4 linked regions of the Saccharomyces cerevisiae S288C genome follow. The protein of the gene in region 1 interacts with the protein of each later gene in a biochemical or structural test. Each region holds a gene or a part of one and is shown in the gene's direction. Other genes may lie near its edges. The genes, in order: RDS2, ERT1, PIB1 and GSM1.

Region 1 (4,858 bases):
AGTAGCGTAAGCAGCAGCCCAGTTGGTCAAACCGTGGGTAATACCGTATCTTGGCAATTCGTGGGAGTAGGCAGCAGCTAAGACGACATCACCAGTGATGGTAGAAGAGATGATTTGACAGATGATATCCTTGTTAGTGAATCTAACAACCAATCTGTACTTTGGAGTGTTGTACTTGGCCTTGTGTTGGGTGACCAATCTCTTTCTTTGGTAGTAATCAGTCTTACCTTCTCTTCTTCTTCTGAAAGGAGTTTGGAAACGAGAGGAGTAAGCAGAGGACTTAGCGTCTTTTTGGAAAGCCATTGTTGCTGAGATTTGTGACGGTGTCTTTTATTTTGAAGTGTAGGAGAAAACAAAAGTAAAGGTTGGCCTCTGAAATATACTACATCGGATATGTCTACAAACTTTTCTATTTATTTTTTTTTTTTTCAAAGCATCTGGCGACTACTGGGATCTGCGACGCTAAGTGAAGCCTCTGAAATTTTCGGATGTGAGCGATTCCGCATTGAAAGCCACCAGAAAAAAAAAAAAGAAAAAAAAGAGAATATTTCAATAATTTTTTTTGCTTTATGGGTGTTTTAGGATGTCTGGATGTACAAGTTAGCTGTCTAGAAAAGCTGTATCACATGAACAAGAATCTTCATTTCTTCATTTCTATGACGGCTAGAAAACAAAGATTTGATGATTACAAGAAGTTCGGTGCCGTGATTATATGCTTAAAACATCTCAATATGAAGTCATGGTGTTTTACTTAATTCAAAAGCATAACAGTATTTATGTACATTGAATGACTTTGTATTTACAATTAATTTGAGTTGTCTTTCCTTGTGTCTATAACTTCTGGGGATAAAATAGCAGCATTAGCCAATGACGCTGCTTTTTCATCTGCATTCATCTCAGGCTCCTTTTTAGAGTCACTTACAGCTGTACCATCACCATAATGAGCTCTGAAGAATGTGTAATGTAAAATAATATCATCGATATTTCGCATCGCTGGATCGCTAGCAAAATCTGGATCGATAAAAAAGAAGACAGGCATATCTATTTCTTCACCGGCAGCTAGCTTTTGTTCTTCAAAGCAAAAACATTGGATTTTATTAAAGTATTGAGCTGCTTCACCAGGCGCTATGCTATAAGTAGCCATACCAATAATATCTTTATCGCTGTAATTCTTGGCTTTATAAAAAGCGAGGGCTGTTTCACCAGGCAGAACGTAAACCTCACGTTGTTGAGGAACGAATTTCCACGGTAAAATTTGTGATACTTCACTGGTGAATGAGATACGAATTCTCTTCTCAGTATCTACAGGAATGAGTTTATCGTCGGTAAATTTTCTTCTATCTGTTATGGGAATCCCACCAAAACCAGTACGAGCACAAATGGCTCTATAGAGTGGTACCGCTGCATATGCCAAACCCAAGAAAAGTACCGCGACGCTGCTGAAATAAAATGCAACCGTACGATCTTTAAATTTTCTCTCCCTTGCTCTTTTCAACTCTCGCAATTGCTGGATTTCATTTCTAGTAAGTTTTGAAATATCAAATGTATGTTTTGGTTGTTCGCTGTTCACTGAATAACTTCTCAATGCAACGTTTTTGCATATGGCCCGCCTTAGAGCTAGCGCATGAGGTGCCAACCATGAGTCGGATCTAAGAAAAGTTCCTAACAGTGGAACCTTAGATCTAACAATGGGACATATTCTTATCATGACAATATTAGGGAATTTTGGCTGCAATATTATTTGTTTGTGCGCTGAAGTGCTATTTCACCTGCGACAGGAATATTATTACTTTAAAGAAGATACTTAAGCGTTCGCTGCCCCTTTAGACTCTTCACTGTTCTTTGATTTGTATTGGTTAGTATCTATGTCCTTAAAAGATATATCATGTTTCATCCGTCAAAGGGCATTGGTTAGGGAAAGGGTTTTCCAATGGTTACGCTGTTTTTCCTACAGATCCGCTCCTTAGATGGGGAGAATAATGTTTTGGAATGGCAGAAAACAAGAAAAAGCAAAACAAAGAGTACGAAGGAAAATGAAAAATAGTTGAATATTAGAAAAAAGGATGAGGTCTCTGGGATGGAAGAAGAAAGTAATTCTTATGAGAAAATTTGCGGGAGTTCTTTGCCAGTGAGATAAAGTTTTTTTTAATTTTAATCAACACAAAATACACATATTTATATAAACTGACGAAATAATGTCAGCAAACAGTGGTGTAAAACGAGCCAGTAAGGCTTTTAAAACATGTTTATTTTGTAAACGGTCACATGTTGTATGTGATAAGCAACGTCCATGTTCTAGGTGCGTCAAGAGGGATATTGCCCATTTATGCAGGGAAGATGATATTGCGGTTCCAAATGAGATGCCATCACAGCACGAAAGTTCTCCGAATGATAATAATATACAGGGCAAATATGCAAATAAAGCACACACTGGAATTCCGTCTGACTATCAGAATGAACCAGTCAATAAAAGTGGATCCACATATGGAGAGGAACTGTCACCGAAACTAGACTCCTCTCTTGTAAATGATACAACCAGCTTGCTGCTTCCGCAACAACCTGTATTTGTGTCCGAGAATGTTGGTTCGGAATTCAGTTCTTTGAATGAATTTCTTTCTATGCTAGAAAATCCTCTATTGACTCAAACATCACTAAGTTCCAGCAGTGCGAGCAATGTTCATTTGGAAAATGGCTCACAAACCACACAATCGCCATTAGAGTACCAAAACGACAATCGTAGGGATGAAATAGGAGTGGCAAGACAAGAAAATAGGTCGCCTACTATTATGTCAGGTTCTTCCAATAGTATCTCGAAAGGGGATAAACAAGATCAAGAAAAGGAAGAGTCTCGAATTCTAGCGAATGCAAACGAAAACAGTGCACCGACACCGAAGGAACAATTCTTTTTAACAGCGGCGGATCCGTCAACAGAGATGACACCAGAACACCGGCTGAAGTTGGTCATAAATGCGAAGCTTGAAGCAGGATTATTGAAGCCGTATAATTATGCCAAGGGGTATGCAAGACTACAAGACTACATGGACAAATATATGAATCAGTCTTCCAAGCAAAGGATTCTGAAACCACTATCCACCATTAGACCGGCGTTTAGAACCATTGCGCGTTCATTGAAGGATGTTGACTTAGTTTTAGTGGAGGAGAGCTTCGAGAGGATGTTATTATCTTATGATCGTGTTTTCACCTCTATGAGCATGCCAGCGTGCTTGTGTAGGCGTACCGGTGAGATTTACAGAGCCAATAAAGAGTTTGCTTCACTGGTTGACTGCACAGTCGATGATTTACGCGATGGAAAGCTTGCGATCTACGAGTTGATGACAGAAGAAAGCGCTGTGAATTTCTGGGAAAAATACGGGTCCATAGCGTTTGATAAGGGTCAGAAGGCTGTTTTAACAAGTTGTAGTCTTCGAACCAAAGATGGAATCCGCAAACGGCCATGCTGTTTTAGTTTCACTATCAGAAGGGATAGGTACAACATCCCAATTTGCATCGTCGGGAATTTCATCCCTTTGTCATAAGCATAAGTAATACATAGTAGGTAATTGGTATTTCCAGCGTCATTAAAAAGCAAAGTAACGGGTTTACTTTTTCCTCAAGCCGCTGGCCCGAGCAGTTACTTGAAATAGCCGTATTACTACGAGCAATACGAAGACCTTTTTCTACCAGCATTTGTTTTTTTTCAAATCATTCCCATTATTACCCCAGGATCTTTTCATAATGCGGCGACCAGAGATAGGGAAAAAAACTGCGAACTGGCTGAATCTGATTTGGCGAAGGGCAGATTCTCGGGTATTTCTGTGAGGGTGACCGCCGTTGATATATATCAGTGACTTTTGGGAACCTTTATCTCATTTATTCTCAAGATAGAACTGTAACGAGGGTGAAAGAAAAAGAACTGTAAGATGACATCTATAGATAATAGACCTTTGCCGTTCATATACCAGTTCACAGCCGGTGCCATTGCCGGCGTCTCGGAGCTATTGGTGATGTATCCATTGGACGTGGTGAAGACAAGAATGCAATTACAAGTGACAACCAAAGGTCATCCCGCTGTTGTTGCAGCGAAAGCAGCAGTAGATCACTACACGGGCGTGATGGATTGTCTTACAAAAATTGTGAAGAAGGAAGGATTTTCGCATCTTTACAAGGGTATCACATCGCCTATATTAATGGAGGCTCCGAAAAGAGCAATTAAGTTCTCCGGAAACGATACATTCCAAACGTTTTATAAAAAGATTTTCCCCACGCCCAATGGGGAGATGACTCAAAAAATCGCCATATACAGTGGTGCGTCCGCTGGCGCCGTGGAAGCCTTTGTCGTCGCGCCTTTTGAACTAGTGAAGATTAGATTACAGGATGTGAATTCACAGTTCAAGACACCCATTGAAGTTGTAAAGAATAGTGTTGTGAAAGGTGGTGTTTTGTCACTTTTCAATGGGTTGGAAGCCACTATCTGGAGACACGTTCTTTGGAATGCCGGTTATTTCGGTATAATATTCCAAATTCGGAAGCTTTTGCCGGCGGCTAAAACAAGCACGGAAAAGACCAGAAATGATTTGATCGCAGGTGCTATTGGTGGCACTGTCGGGTGCTTGTTGAATACACCATTTGACGTGGTAAAATCTAGGATCCAAAGAAGTTCCGGGCCGCTGAGGAAGTACAACTGGTCCCTGCCTTCAGTGCTGTTAGTTTACCGTGAGGAAGGGTTTAAAGCATTGTATAAGGGATTTGCGCCAAAGGTCATGAGACTTGCCCCCGGTGGTGGGTTATTGTTGGTAGTTTTCACGAACGTCATGGATTTTTTCAGAGAAGTCAAGTATGGTAAAAAACAATGATCCTG
Region 2 (4,902 bases), on another chromosome or scaffold:
CGTCATGAGTCGCTCACGGGCGAGCGTCTATCTGCATATTTTCCTGAGCCCAATATTCGGTTCTGCGTCTTAGCGGCATAAATGCATCCGGCAGGACTGCCGAGAAAAGGAATATACAATGGCAGCCCTCTTGGCGCATTTGATGTATGCGGATTTCCAACCAATCTGCGAATGCATCCGTGCCAAAATGAAACGGCATTTAGCTTGAAAGAGTCGGAATTCCTGCATCAGATGGGTACCATTTTACCACAGTCTTTTGACTCACGCAGAGTACTCGCGTGCAATTGCTTGCAGGTATAATATATACATATATATATATATATATATATATATATATATATATGTACAATTTGTATGACAAGTGGGTGCACCTTTCTCGGTCGGAATTATATGGGGAACTAATACTACGGGTTAGAGCTATAACAATTTCTGCACACTTTAAAAGCGTTTTCATTTCATTTCACCACGTATATATATAGCCTATATATATATCCGCACTAGAACCAAATGGTCAATAGTAAGAGGCAGCAGAGAAGCAAGAAAGTAGCGTCATCCTCCAAAGTGCCCCCCACCAAGGGGAGGACATTTACTGGGTGCTGGGCATGCAGATTCAAGAAACGCAGATGCGACGAGAATAGACCAATCTGTTCACTGTGTGCCAAACATGGAGATAATTGTAGTTACGATATCAGACTTATGTGGTTAGAGGAGAACATCTACAAAGTACGCAAGCATTCACTGATCAGTTCATTACAGGCTCGCAAATCGAAATCGAAACCATTGTGCCAGAAAATCTCAAAATCAAGGTTTAAACAAATGACCCATTTTAGACAACTATCACCCCCGACAAGTGACTGCGAAGACAGCGTGCACGAGGCAAGTAAGGAAACTACGCTTCCTAACGATAATACATTCACCATAAGCGTACGGAGATTGAAGATATACAATAACGCTGTGGCCTCTGTCTTTGGTAGCATGACAAATAGAGATTATACTCAAAAGCGCATAGACAAGAAGTTGGACGAATTGCTTAATATGGTGGAAAACGACATATCTGTGGTCAACCTCAATTGCTCCAAACACGGGCCTTACTCAGTTTTCAGGGCCAATCCGGCTGCAGTTACCTCTGCTCTTACAGATCAGCTGCCGTCGCCGGGTCATTCGATGTCGTCAGCAGAGGAAACCACTACTGCAGCGCTGTCATCGCCGCCAGAAGACAGCACCTCTTTGATCGATATTATCCAAGGCAAAATTTTCGGGATCCTATGGTTTAATTGCTACGGGAACATGATATTGAACCGACAAGAATACACGACGTGGTTCATCAATAAGATGAGGAACTCGTTGACCACGGAATTCATACGCTTCCTTGGGAAAATAATTGACGACCCGGACATCAATATGGCCTCGTGCCTGTTCAAAGAGTGCATCGCTCGTTGGAGTTGTGTCGATTGGCAATCCATAGCTATAACAATGCTGGTCATCATTCATGGATATACCTGCCCCAACTTGACAAAGCTTCTAAGAGTGTGGTTTCTCCAGCAAAAGCTATTGAGATTTTCGATGTATCCGCTGGTCAACTTTATCATAAACAATACACAAGATTTAGACGTCCTGTACCATTGTAATGGATTGCTAGGGAATGCCGACTTATTCGAGGATCCCTACCAGGACGAGCTTACGTCGGAGTTACATGTCTTGGTCACGGAGCGCCTAGTGAATAGTTGGAAAGATACAATATTGCAACAACTTTGCTCATGTCAAGATACCACACTTTCATGTTCCCAACTGCGGTACTGGCAGCTACAACTGAAGTGTAATCAACAATTTTACAAGGATGTATATGCCATGCAGGACTAGGCTTATTGAGCCTTCCCTTCACTCATTTCAAGAAAAAAAAAGCCAAAAGCTTTGCTTGGATATTATACCCATTTTTAACGACATATTTTTTCCCACTACTTTAGATAGAAATTCATGATATTTTGTTTTATATTATATATGTATATATATATATGCACGAAAAAAAATTAAAGTTTATCACTGGGAGATAGGGTTTCCTATCTGCCAGGGTGAAACGTTTATTTTACTGATTTCTTTGTCTTTACTGACATTTATCGGATATCTATCTATCATTCTGAGCCTATGCTTTTTGTTAGCCGTAGACTAAAAAAAAAAAAAAATTGAAGGAAAAGAAATGAAAAAAGCAAATGAGTTGCAATTTTAGTATATTGTAAAAGAGTAACCACATAAAAAAACTAAACAAGAGCCGGTGCAACGGCATTACTCTCTTAGATAAAATTGCTAGTTATATAAAGTCAGGATACTCTTGAGCTATTTTTATCATTTCTTTTGGGTACAACAGACACACGAAGGTATAAAAATAAAATACATTGATGAATCATCGTGATGTGCACTCCAGATGAAAACGATTACAAAACATCAACTGACCCAGATACATCTGCAAATACAAATCATACTCTCGAAAAAAAGAAGAGAAAAAAGAGAAAAAACACAAACGTGGCATGCGTGAACTGTTCGAGATTGCATGTGTCATGTGAGGCCAAAAGGCCATGCTTACGATGTATCAGCAAGGGCCTCACGGCTACATGCGTTGACGCTCCAAGAAAGAAAAGCAAGTACTTGGCTGGAATACCGAATAGAGAGCTCCCAATGAACATACAACCGGACCTTCCACCCCGCAAGATCATGATACCCATTTATAACAACTCCAGCAATAGTAGCCTCAACGTAAATAACATGGGAGAACAGCAAAAATTCACCAGCCCACAACATATAGTTCACAAAGCTAAATTCCTATCGAATGCTGCAGATTCCGAGTACTCTATTCTGTCGAATATCATCTATCAAGACACATTGTCTAACAAGATCCCTATTGACATCCTGTACTCCAACACCAATTCCACATCCAACTCCACAATAGGCAATAGCAGTAACAATAGCCCTACGGGCACAAATACAAGCCCTGAAGAAACAGAAATGGAGAAAATTCGCCAGTTGTACAGCGAACAGCGAGCAAACATACCCCCACATCCGTATCCATCTTCCAATCAAAACGTTTATTCTATTCTACTGGGACCAAATTCAGCCAAGATTGTAGCTTCGCAAGTTAATCTTTTCGCGAACCATTTCCCCTTAGTGCCCGTTGATTCAGCTGATAATTCCTTAAACTTTAAAAGATTATTGCCACGGGACCCATCTGAAAAGAGCTCCCAAATTAATTGGGACTCAAGCATAAACCAATATTACTTGAACAGCGAAACGGTAACATTTCCCGAGTTGGCTATCCCCTTAAAGCGGAGGAAAAACCATTTGGTCTCTGTATCCCTGGAAAGCTGTTCACCAGACGCTGCCAACATCAAGAGCAATGTAGAATGGGAACATTCATTACGTTATTCTACTCCAATGGAAATATACACCTCCATAAATGCCCCCTTTTCGCATACACCTGGATTCCACCATCTTTTGGTGTACCTAAAGCATCGATTCAACCAGCAGGATCTGGTGAAGATGTGTCGGTCCATTGCCGAATTCCGGCCCATTTTCATTGCGTGTTCTGTAACTTTAACCGAGGAGGACATGATTTTTATGGAGCAATGCTACCAAAGAACTCTATTAGAATATGTAAAATTTATTGCACAAATCGGTACCCCGACATGTATTTGGCGAAGAAATGGTCAAATTTCTTATGTCAACGAGGAATTTGAAATTCTATGCGGATGGACAAGAGAGGAGCTACTAAACAAGATGACTTTTATCGTAGAGATCATGGACGATGAAAGTGTACGCGATTACTTCAAAACGCTCTCTAAAGTTGCATATAGGGACTTCAGAGGATCTGAGAAGATGAAAGTTTGCAGGCTCTTAAGCCCCATCAAGGGCAAGATAATTCATTGTTGCTGTATGTGGACATTAAAAAGAGATGTCTCTGGTTTGCCCCTCATGATCTTGGGTAACTTCATGCCCATACTCAATTGACTTTTTTTTTCTTTTTTTCTCATTTTACTACCTCGTATTATATAATACCTATGCATAGACCAAAAGTAAGTCAAGAACTGTGTTCTTTTAAAAGTGTTAACAGATTCCAGCAATTTTACTTGAAGCCTTGACCAGTTTCGTAGGCGTCTGCTCATTCTGGTCGATATCCAGAGGCTCGAGCACATATAACGAAGGGCCCCTATTGTGTATATGGCGGCCTTTACGAATCTTCCGATATTGGGTAGCTCCGTTTTTCTTCCCTTTTTTTTTTTTTTTTTCTTAAATTTCTTCTTCTTTTTTTGCTCTTCGTTTTATTTCACTCACCTGTTGTCGAAAAAAACATCAGGCGTATACCATCAAAAAACTCAACCAATTGAGCTAGTTTCACTTTCTGTACGCATGAGTTTCCAATGTCTCACAGGGCATGTCTCACACACCACCGCCTTCCACCTTACATAACGAACTGCGGAAAAACAGCATGCCACATGGTACCTAACTGGAAAAATAGCAGCAGTCCTCTTCATATTGTTTGCTTCGTTGTTCATTTTCTCGAAAAATTTCTCTTCTTTTCTTGCCTTGATAATATGTAAAAAAGCTTAAACTTTCAGGCAACTTTTCCCATATTGTTTTTCCGTGTGAAGGGACGAGTGCCTGCAGTGAACTGCTCGTACAAGAGAGGCAATTTCATAGATCCTCTGATTCTGCGGTAATTTCTCAGAGGACAGCACTCTGCACGAGCTTTGTGTGTGCACCAAAAGAAACGGGTTTCTTTCGGAGAAAAAAAGAAAAGAAAATTTTTTCAACCTTGCTCAAGTTATGCCATGGACATCTCGAAGAAAGTCAAAATAAGGCAATAAAGAAACTTTGTCGTTCAGCACTGAAGTTACATATCGCATTGGTTATATC
Region 3 (4,457 bases), on another chromosome or scaffold:
TTCTTGAAAATCAACAAGAATTTTATGGAAATAGGCCGTTGATAAATCATGGTGTTGAAGATATTCGCAAGATGGCTAAAAGGAAAATGGCCAACAGAGATATTCTAACGTTGTTCTTCTTTATTATCTTAGAAAATGTGCTACCGGGGCCTAAGAAGCTTTACTTATGCTTTGCCTTGCCCTTGCACGATTACGATATTAGGTGCAATAAGGTGAAGTGGCAAATCGAACATGGTATTGGCAAAGTTCCCAACAGATTTGACTCTGACCTAATACAACCTTATTTTTGGATTGAATTAGAAGTTCCTACTTTGAGCGATGGTGAATTATACATCATTGACCCTATAGCCCATCTGGGTGAACGTGAAATGGTCTTGAAAACACGCGAAGATCAGTTTGTCCCTACTTATCAACCTTCGGTAGACATGAAGTACAACCTAAACCAAAAGTTTCATTATGTAGTCCGTATCAATCATGCTGAAAAGGTACTACAAGATGTTTCACCAAGATATGTGCCAAATGTTTGTTACAGGTACTTTGAATTATCTGAGTCTTCTCCTATTTTGAAATCGAAGCATTACACTAGCTACCAATATCTATCTAAGTGGTTGAAAGTCTTGAACAAGAAAAAAGCATCTGTTCATCATTACGCAATAATGAAAAAGATTGCTTTAACTAATTTTACATTACCAAAGAGTGTGACAGAGATTAAAAGAACAGATAATTTCGTGATTCCCTCTCTGTTAAAGTCTAATGAAGTATTAAAAGCATGTGCAAAACAAGCCGCAACATTTACTAAGGGAGACAATTCACAAGAGCCCATATTTTGGAGAAGAGACGTCATTCAATTAAAGAGTAAACAGCACTGGGCAATATTAGGGCGTTCCATTCTACCTAATGCTCAACCATTAAAACGTAAAAAGTATCTACCGATGAGGGAAAGGATGGTAAGAAACCTAGACAAGTACGTTATCAAAGAATTGTTTTCGTATGAGCAAACAATGAAGTCTCCTAAATACCCCAGCACGTATTGCGATCATTTAGGACAGGAACATGTGATAACAGATTTGTCGCATTATAAAAATAAATTTGGCAACATCGAAATTTACTCGAAAGAAACTAAGCCTGATGGATTTGAATTAATACCGCTTAGCAAAGAAGTTGATATTAAATGCCTGATAAAGGAGTATAACAAAGGTAAAAGAAAGATGCAAAAAATCAAGTATTTGGATGTGGTAAGTGGATTTGATTTTAAACAGAAAAAAGGCCATGCCATTCCGAAAATTGAAAGCATTCTAGTCAAAGAGACAGACTATAAAGCAGTCCAGCTTTTGAAGCAGCAAACTAAAGTACTACTGGGACTCTCGTTCTGGGACATTCTATTAAGAAAGCTACGAGTTAACGATCGATTAAATGCTGAGTACGGTAATGTTGGAAATAATGAAGAAACGTTGGACGACCATTGACTACATCGTATTTCACCTTTTCTAAAGTAAAATGGATTCGACGCTGTTTCGCAGAGGGTATAAATGTTTGCACGATCGATAGAGCGTATGGAAGCCTGTGCATAATCATATCTCTGGAGAAGGAAATCTTCGATAAGGGCCAGTGAAATAGCGGAGTATCATGGAATCCGGGTAATGGGCATCGAAGCAGCTCACCGAAGAGAAGAATAGAAAAGAAAAAGTAGAACTATTCTCGGGATTTATAGTAAACAGGGGACGGACGATTAAGAAATAACCTGATCAAACACTGTACACTACTGCTGTTTTTTTTTTTTTTTTTCTGCTAGAAAAGAACATATGAAGAACTAAAGCGCATGGTTATTAAAGAGGACTGTATCAATAATCTTGCCAGGTGGCAGGCAGACGAGGAAGCTCACAGCTGTTTTCAATGCAAGACGAACTTTTCGTTTCTCGTAAGAAGACACCATTGTAGGTGTTGTGGAAGGATATTTTGTTCGTCTTGTACCGAAAATTTTGTTAATTATAATAAAAAGAGAGTCCATGCCTTGCAGAAAAAAAATAGCGACGTGGAATCGCCTCCATATAGAACTTGTAATGAGTGCTACGATAACCTCCTTCATTTAAATCTACTAGTATCCTCCACCAACAGAGATGTACGACTATCGCAAACTTCGGTACCACCAAATGCACTTGCACTTTCTGCACCAGATAGCAACACTGATGAAGACGCGGAAATCCTGGAAGATTCGGTAGATCAATCCGGTACGGCATGCAGGAGCGAAGAAAGTTCACAAAACGAGGAGGATCACTTCTGCCCTATTTGTAACTCAGATCTCACACAGTTTCCTGATGAAGAAGAGACCAGAAAGCACGTAGAGGATTGCATACAGAGAGCTGAAAATGCCCAACAACATACGAATACGTCAGATGCAGCAGATGACTCCGTAAAAGAAAGCCCTGCCTTTCAAAATAGAATGTTAGTGTACAAGATATCGCCTAATACAACAGATAATGCAATTAAGGAGTGCCCGATTTGTTTTGAGAATATGGAACCCGGTGAGAAAGTTGGGAGACTAGAATGCTTGTGTGTTTTCCATTATAAGTGTATTAAGAACTGGTTTCACAAAAGGGCGCAAATGACTGCAGCCCAGAAGGGAAATGGACATGCTTTTGTTAAAAGGAACTTTTGTCCTTTCCATGATGCCGTATTTTAACGATAACTCCCAATTTGCTTTTCATTACAAAGTTTAATTTTTCAGCTGTTAATAATCGAAGTTTTAACTTCCCTTTTCTTTTATTTTTTTCTTTAATTGTAAAAGATTTCTATATATTTGTTTAATTATGATCTTATATATTCATTAATATTTACTTTGAGGTGTTCCCTCACCTATGAATAAACAGACACTTCCTGGTTCTTTAAGTCCATCGGAGTCATGGCTACTATATGGATAGTGATGTTACGTACGGAGGATATATATACATATCGTGCATTATTCTACTTCACTGAATAAGTCACTATCCAAATCCTCTGGTACATCACTATAATGCTCATCTTCACTCGATGAAGATCCATCATCGCTCATTGCACCATCTTTCCCTTGACCTTCACCCTGTTCTTCTGCTCTAGCTTTTCTTCTTTCCAATTTACGTTGCTTTTTAGCATCTTTAACAGCCTTTTTTTTAGCAATGTTTTCTTCTTGTTCCTTTCTTCTTTGTTCCTTCAGCCTCATTTTTGCAGCGTGTCTCTTTTCTAAGGCTTTGATTTCTTCGCTTGATTTTTGAACAAATTCATGATGTAATACTTTACCTGAACAAATACCATCTTCTATTTTGACCAGTTTTAGAGTTAATCTTGGTCCTAATTCAGTCAGTTTGATAGCCTTCTTACGTGGAGTTGGTTGCGAATTTTCTGAAGGCTTAGGTTCCTCCATTTCCACATCTTCTTCTTCAATTCCTTTTTCACGTTCTTCGTTATCTGTCATTTTAACGGGTGTTTTTTGCGACAGCGAAGTTTGAGAATGTTTTGCCTTCACGTCCTGATTATCAACCACTCTCACAATAGCGTCATCTTCAATTTCAGATTCTGATGTATAGGCGCCTAAGTCATGATCTAATATCAAAGAAGAAATATCTTCTTTTCGATGCAAATTCGGCACTGTTTTACTTAGATTATTTTTGGCTTTATAAAGCCTTTTTAGATTTCTAGAGATCTCTACTTCTCGAATGTCAATAAAATAGTGGCGCATAGAAATTTCCCCCGTTTCTCTGTCTTTATTGATCATAAATATACGTTTGATAGAATTCAACGAAGTTCTTGCAGGATTCAGAGGTGGGAAAATATTCTGGAACATGGAAACAATAACCTTCTCCACGTTTACATCCTGATCGTCTTCATCAGATCTTTTCGATGTGGAAAACCCATTTAACACTAGCAATGGAGGATTTAATACATCATCATTATTTAACGATTTAGGTCTCTTCAAAAATTTTTTGATATCTCTACCCAGTGAATAGTCCAATACTTGAAAAGTAACAGTAGGACCTTGTGGAGTTCTAGCTATCTTTAGCGAGACATTTCCTGTTTTTTCAGATTGAGTGAACATGAAAAGATGCGTAACACCTAATGGGCCACACATAACAACAAAATCCTTCAGTTTATTGGACTTGCGCTCTTTTAGTTTTACGGCCGTATGCGGTTGCATGATCTGGCGAAAATCCTTTACTAATTGGTTTAGAGAATGGTTAGCCAATGAAGTTTGTCCCACTCTGATTACCATGGATTTAGGAATATCTCGTTCCTGCTCGGGTGTGATCTGCGCATGCGTTCTCTTTTTCTGCCTTCTTTTAGCCATTAGTTCCAAAATATCTAAGGTATGTGCGGGATGGTGACCTAGCAGCTGCAATTTAGTCGAATATTAGCTAGACTAGTTTATTTTGCCTATTTAATATCATTCATACAAGCCCGTCGATGAGATGCATCTACACTAAAAA
Region 4 (5,592 bases), on another chromosome or scaffold:
AGGGATTGTTAGATCAAGATTCATGATGGGTTCCAGAAGGTTGTATTTTTCAGGTTTTAAGTCATTGAGAGCTTTAAAAATTAAGTTTCTAGTAATTTTTAAGATTTCTTGTGGAGTTTCAATATCAGGTGGGACTGACCAATCGCTATTGATTTTGATGGAGCATGCATATAAGGGAAAGTTAGCTATTTTTCCGCCTCTTTGAAGTCCCACAATGCAACTTGCAATAATAGAATTTAGAATTGATTCGAAAGAAACTTGGTATTTCCATTCTTTATCCCAATTACCATTTTTTTCCATTATCAGAAAATTCTCGTTGACTCCTAATGGATATGCAAGGCAGTTAGGAAGGGCATCGGAATTTGGTAGCAGAGATAAGGAGAATCTATATCCATCATCACTCTCATACGTTTCTATATTTGTTTCTGAATTAATTGTTTCTTTGTAGGACACCATCAACTGACCAAATTCAACATCTGCTTTTAGGTCATTAACCAATCGATCCTTGGCAATTTCAAGGTGTAATTCACCCATACCGTTTAAAACCGTTTGGCCAGTCTCATCATTTTGAGAAATTGAAAGACTGGGATCTTCAGTAATTAAAGTGTTTAAAGCTTCTTCCATCGATTTTTTATTACTTAAAGTCCTTGGTTCGATGGAAACACCAAAAACTGGTGGGGGAATGAAGATAGAATTGATTTTTAACGTCAACTCCTTTTTTTTATCAAGTGATTTCAACCCATCCTTCTTCGACGAATGCGTTATTAGTGTATCTCCAGTAGATATGTTGTTTTCGACTGTAGAGCCAGTAAGCAATCCGATTTGGCCCGCAGTTAAAATATTTACAGGTTGTGATGTTCCCGCATGGGGTATCAGTAATTTACCCAATTTAAATTTTTCCCCAGTAGTAGAATTATAAACGGTATTGCCACTGTTTAGTGTACCTGAATAAATTCTAATGAATATTTGTTTACCCCTGATTGGATCCGTAATCACTTTGAATGCAAGAGCAATGCAAAGATTTTTGTTGTTGTTTACTAAACATCCAACTTTGGGGTCATATTTCATTGGAACGGTTTTATCATTTAGTTCTGGTAGTTCGGCTTCAATGGGCGAAGGGAGATAATTAACTATAGCATCTAATAGAGGCTGCACGCCAATATTTTTAAAAGACGCACCGCATAAGACAGGTACAATCATATTCTTCATAGTCAGTTTTCTTATTGAAGCGTTCAAAAACTGTGCGGAAACCTTGGAGTAATCGCCTTCTGCCTCCTCTAAGAAGTGCTGGACTAAATCTTCGTCGTATTCAGTCAAAGTCTCTATCATCGATTCCCTACAACGATTACACTGCTCAAGAGAAGTACCATCCAACTCATCCACGATAATTTCATCAGGATTTTCTGGATTCCAGGTTAATCGCTTCCCATTTACGACGTCAATAACACCTTGGAAAACATAATCATTGCTAGTCGGTTGTTTTCGATAGTAAGGAATGTTTACCAACACCGGTTTGGTAGTTGTTCCTCTCATAAATTTATTTATCAAGTCATTGACTGTATGGTTGAAACTCGCCCCCATACGATCCATTTTGTTGATAAAGCAGATTTTGGGCTTCGATTTACTTTGCTTCCAAACCTTCTCTGTCTGTGCCTCTACGCCGGCAACAGCGTCCAAAATGACCACGCATGAATCAATAACTTTCAAAGCCCTAATCACTTCAAAAGTAAAATCTATATGTCCCGGCGTATCAATAAGATTTATTGCAAAAGTATTTCGCCATGGGAATGAAATCGCAGCGCTTTGAATTGTGATACCTCGGGATCTCTCCTGCTCTAAAAAATCAGTTATCGTATCGCCAGTGTCGACGTCTCCAATATGCTTTGAGATTCCTGCATAATAAAGCATCCTCTCTGTTGTGGTAGTTTTACCTGCATCGATATGGGCTATAATTCCTATATTTCTAACCTTAGACAGTGGACTTCTTGCGGTCGATAAGTATCTACTTCCAACGTTAATTACACTTAATCGGTTCTTGCTAATGTTTACTCTTGCGCCCGCCCATCTGCGCACATTCCATTTCCACATAGCCTCCCTCACTTATCTTGCCCCTTTTGTATATCTCTGACTGCCGTTTTGCCACCAGAAAGCTTGTTGATCTATTTCACATTATCTTCTTTTAACCGCCCAGCCTCCGCGCCGTCGTCGTTCTCTGTGCTGATTGGTTATCTCCCCTCTCACTAAGGGAAGGCCTCAAAAATTGTCGAAATGAGAAGAGGCTGAAACGATTTACTAATCATCATAGCCTGCTTAAACGAGTTAACACTAAGGGGAAGGGTACGACTATCATTTGTTCGGATCTCTGAACCGGATATTTTCTTTGTTACACACATCAAGTTTTTGCATGAATAGATCATATTTCGAATGATTTAACGTATTACAGCTTAGCAATAAAGGGAGTAAAGAAATAATATATTTGGATACAGCATACAAGAATATATATACATATGACCAAAAAACTACCTTCAGAGTTGAAACAGACGAGAAAGTCTATCCAGACAGCTTGTGAATTCTGTCATACCAAACATATACAGTGTGACGTAGGGAGGCCATGTCAAAACTGTTTAAAAAGAAATATTGGGAAGTTTTGCAGAGATAAGAAAAGGAAATCAAGAAAACGAATTGAGAAGCATGGAACACAACCATACTTGAATTTGGGGAAGAGGCTGGTAATACATGATGTGCCGTCGAAGACGGTATCCCCCTCAAGCGTACATCTGCAGCGAGATTTTCTATCTTCAGATCAGGAAAAACCAGGCAAAACACCTGCCCACAATACGAATATCCAATATACGTATAATATAAATGATAACTTTCAAAGCGCTGGATCTATTCCACGTATTACGAACTTCAATACGAATAACCGCCAGACCGTCTTAGAAAATACTTCTAATAATATATCAGCTTCACAAGCAGTACATTTAATGAATGACCCCATCATACCCACCGTACGGAAGAGTACTCTCAATTTAAAGTCGCATTTCCTAGAGCAACATAAAGCAATGCAGCAGCCGCTGGCTACCAATTGTTTGGTTGCTACTTCAAACGTTCCTGTGCACTCTGGAATGGACGATAGTAATAAGAGTGACGATGATGTCGATGACGAAACTAATATTCACTTTGATAGTATGTGGTGCAATGACGAATACATGAAATTAAAGGATATAGTAGATATTTCAACGCCGTTTTTACCGAATAACTCCCAGATATTTTCCCTCCAAGAATCAGAATATCCCAATCCTAGCGCATCTACACGGGGAAATTCGTCATTGCATTTAACGAACCTTTTAAACTCGACAAAAAGCGTGAATGACCAAAAGGACTCCTCGATCGGCCATTCCACTTCTACTTTCAATACATATGATGAAGTAGTGTCTAGGCCCTTTATATCTTTAGACATGCTGCATTTGAATCGTGGAGCAAACGCTAATACACACCCATCACATAACGCCAAACTGGAAAGCGAATGTGACAGTTCTAGTCACTCCGATGCAGATCTGGAGAAACATGATACCGATTTCATATCACCTTCAAAGTTTCGTGAATTAGTAAAGACTCCTCAAGACCTATATGACAATAAATGTTTAATAAAACCGCATAATTACAAGCTCGCATACACCAAACTGCTAACTACTTTAAGAAAAAAATTTCTTGAAGGAGCTGAAATTGATAAATCTGCCTCAGTAAAAGACGAACACAGTACCCAAAAGCATAATTTGAGATATGATTTAGAAGTTATAATACGCTCTATACTAGAAAGATATGCTCCAATTTTCATTTCGTTAACATCCAATATGATTGAAGAGGATTTGCTATTACAGGAAGTTACCTTGCAAAGGGCTTTATTAGATTTGGAGAACATGGCAAAATTAGTAAGCTGCACACCGATGTGCATCTGGAGAAGATCAGGCGAGATTTGTTTTGTCAGTAACGAATTCTATTCTTTAACAGGTTTTAACAAAAATTTACTATTAGACCGCACCTCCTTTATTTTTGAATATCTGGATCATAAAAGCGTTTCGAATTACTTTCAAATATTTAACGAATTGCTGGCATTTGGTTACAATGATATCAATAAAAGGAAAAAACTATTGATGTTGAACGCATGTTCTTCTACCTCGTCAAAAATTACAGAAGGGTTTTCTTTTACTACGGATGGAAAAGCAATCTTTACTAAGTGCAATTTATTATTAAGTAACGGTCTTTATTTGAAGTGTGCCTGTTGTTGGACAGTAAAAAGGGACTCGTTTAATATCCCAATTCTCGTAATGGGACAATTTTTACCAATTTTTGAAATGGACTGATCACTATTTTTTGGGCTTATTACTGATTACAGTTTTTATATGCATTCTGTCCGTTTCTTTGATTTTATCGCTTATTTTTTACTTAGGTTGGCAATTCAGTATTCTTTAGCGTTTCTTTTTTTTATTTTACTTTCCGTATCAACAATAATATTTATATTTATGTACAGTTTTACATTGTAATTTAGTTTCTCAGGAATTCGTCAAAAATGTAAAATCATCCATTGAAAACCTTCTTCCCTGAAGAATTTTAAGCATAACTTTATATTTTTAAACAAGGTGGATCTAGAAACTTTGTATTAATTACAAGAATTTATAATATTATTCGGGAGCAACAATATGGATTTCTTGCCAGTAAAACCCTACCTATTACTTCCCTCTTTATTATTAGCCGGGTCACACTAAATTGAAAAATTTGTTCTTTCCTGTTTTTGGAGCAACAGAAAAGTATAAATAGAGCTAGTGTTGTCCGATTGGCAAAAACTTCTTCCCTTTGTTACTTCTTCTTTAAAATTCAAATTTTTCTTTTGATTTTTTTTCAAAAGGCTAACATCAGTAGTGGTTAATACTATCTTTAGATAATATTAATTTCATTATACCATAGAAACCTAAAGATTAGGTTATTTTCGTTCTTCATGTTATGGAGTGTGAGTGATGAGGAGCTTGCTCTTTTAAGCTCATATTACGTAATAAGTTAATACTGGAGCGAGAATAATTTAAATCATTTCATCATAACCCATAGCTGAATGAACTTTGACTACTCCTAAACAAAGTAGTAACAATTTTCATTTCGTTTCCGGTTTCTTAGATCGAATATTATTCTGAGGAAATTCCCTGATTACATATCAGGGAAAGGTTCGCGTTTTTAGAGAATTGCGTAATGCGATTTGAAAGTTTAAATTCCTAAGCGACTCTTCTTCATGATAAGACAGTTTATATTTTGTATACTTTCTCATTCCCATAATTTGTAGTGCCTACGGGGATGGACTTGTCTTGGTACCAACTGACGGTACGTTCTGATGCTGCCTTGCTTGTGCTCCAACATTTTTTTTTTAATTTCATTTTCGTGTACGGTGCGTATATCGAGATGGCATCTGAGTATATTTACTTTGGTACATATACTAATATTAACTAAATACAAGGATGGTGGTTGAAGATTCCTAACGTACAGGAAGCAACCAACTAGGAAAATATATGCACTGCTGCATGCTTTCGATAACACTTGTGACGT

The links.
Region 2: the proteins of RDS2 (region 1) and ERT1 form a complex in vitro, tested with the Saccharomyces cerevisiae proteins (one study listed by BioGRID).
Region 3: of the proteins of RDS2 (region 1) and PIB1, one has a biochemical effect on the other in vitro, tested with the Saccharomyces cerevisiae proteins (one study listed by BioGRID).
Region 4: the proteins of RDS2 (region 1) and GSM1 form a complex in vitro, tested with the Saccharomyces cerevisiae proteins (one study listed by BioGRID).

What each region holds. Positions count from the first base shown.
Region 1 is NC_001148.4:298,566-303,423, reverse strand, and holds RDS2 (gluconeogenesis transcription factor RDS2), read left to right. Parts: upstream 1-2,195; coding exon 2,196-3,536; downstream 3,537-4,858. Other genes in the region: 60S ribosomal protein uL18 RPL5, read right to left, coding at 1-303; COX11 (Cox11p), read right to left, coding at 806-1,708; ODC1 (mitochondrial 2-oxodicarboxylate carrier), read left to right, coding at 3,921-4,853. UniProt on the Saccharomyces cerevisiae protein: Transcription factor which regulates the expression of genes for gluconeogenesis, the TCA cycle, and glucose metabolism. Involved in the cell wall remodeling process and drug resistance.
Region 2 is NC_001134.8:697,448-702,349, reverse strand, and holds ERT1 (Ert1p), read left to right. Parts: upstream 1-2,406; coding exon 2,407-3,996; downstream 3,997-4,902. Other genes in the region: THI2 (Thi2p), read left to right, coding at 508-1,860. UniProt on the Saccharomyces cerevisiae protein: Transcription factor which regulates nonfermentable carbon utilization. Activator of gluconeogenetic genes like PCK1. Involved in restriction of Ty1 transposition.
Region 3 is NC_001136.10:1,087,442-1,091,898, reverse strand, and holds PIB1 (phosphatidylinositol-3-phosphate-binding ubiquitin-protein ligase), read left to right. Parts: upstream 1-1,819; coding exon 1,820-2,680; downstream 2,681-4,457. Other genes in the region: RAD34 (Rad34p), read left to right, coding at 1-1,466; SSF2 (rRNA-binding ribosome biosynthesis protein), read right to left, coding at 2,957-4,318.
Region 4 is NC_001142.9:227,797-233,388, reverse strand, and holds GSM1 (Gsm1p), read left to right. Parts: upstream 1-2,507; coding exon 2,508-4,364; downstream 4,365-5,592. Other genes in the region: mitochondrial elongation factor MEF2, read right to left, coding at 1-2,088. UniProt on the Saccharomyces cerevisiae protein: Transcription factor which regulates nonfermentable carbon utilization. Binds specifically to 5'-CGGN(8)CGG-3' and 5'-CGGN(9)CGG-3' sequences in the promoter region.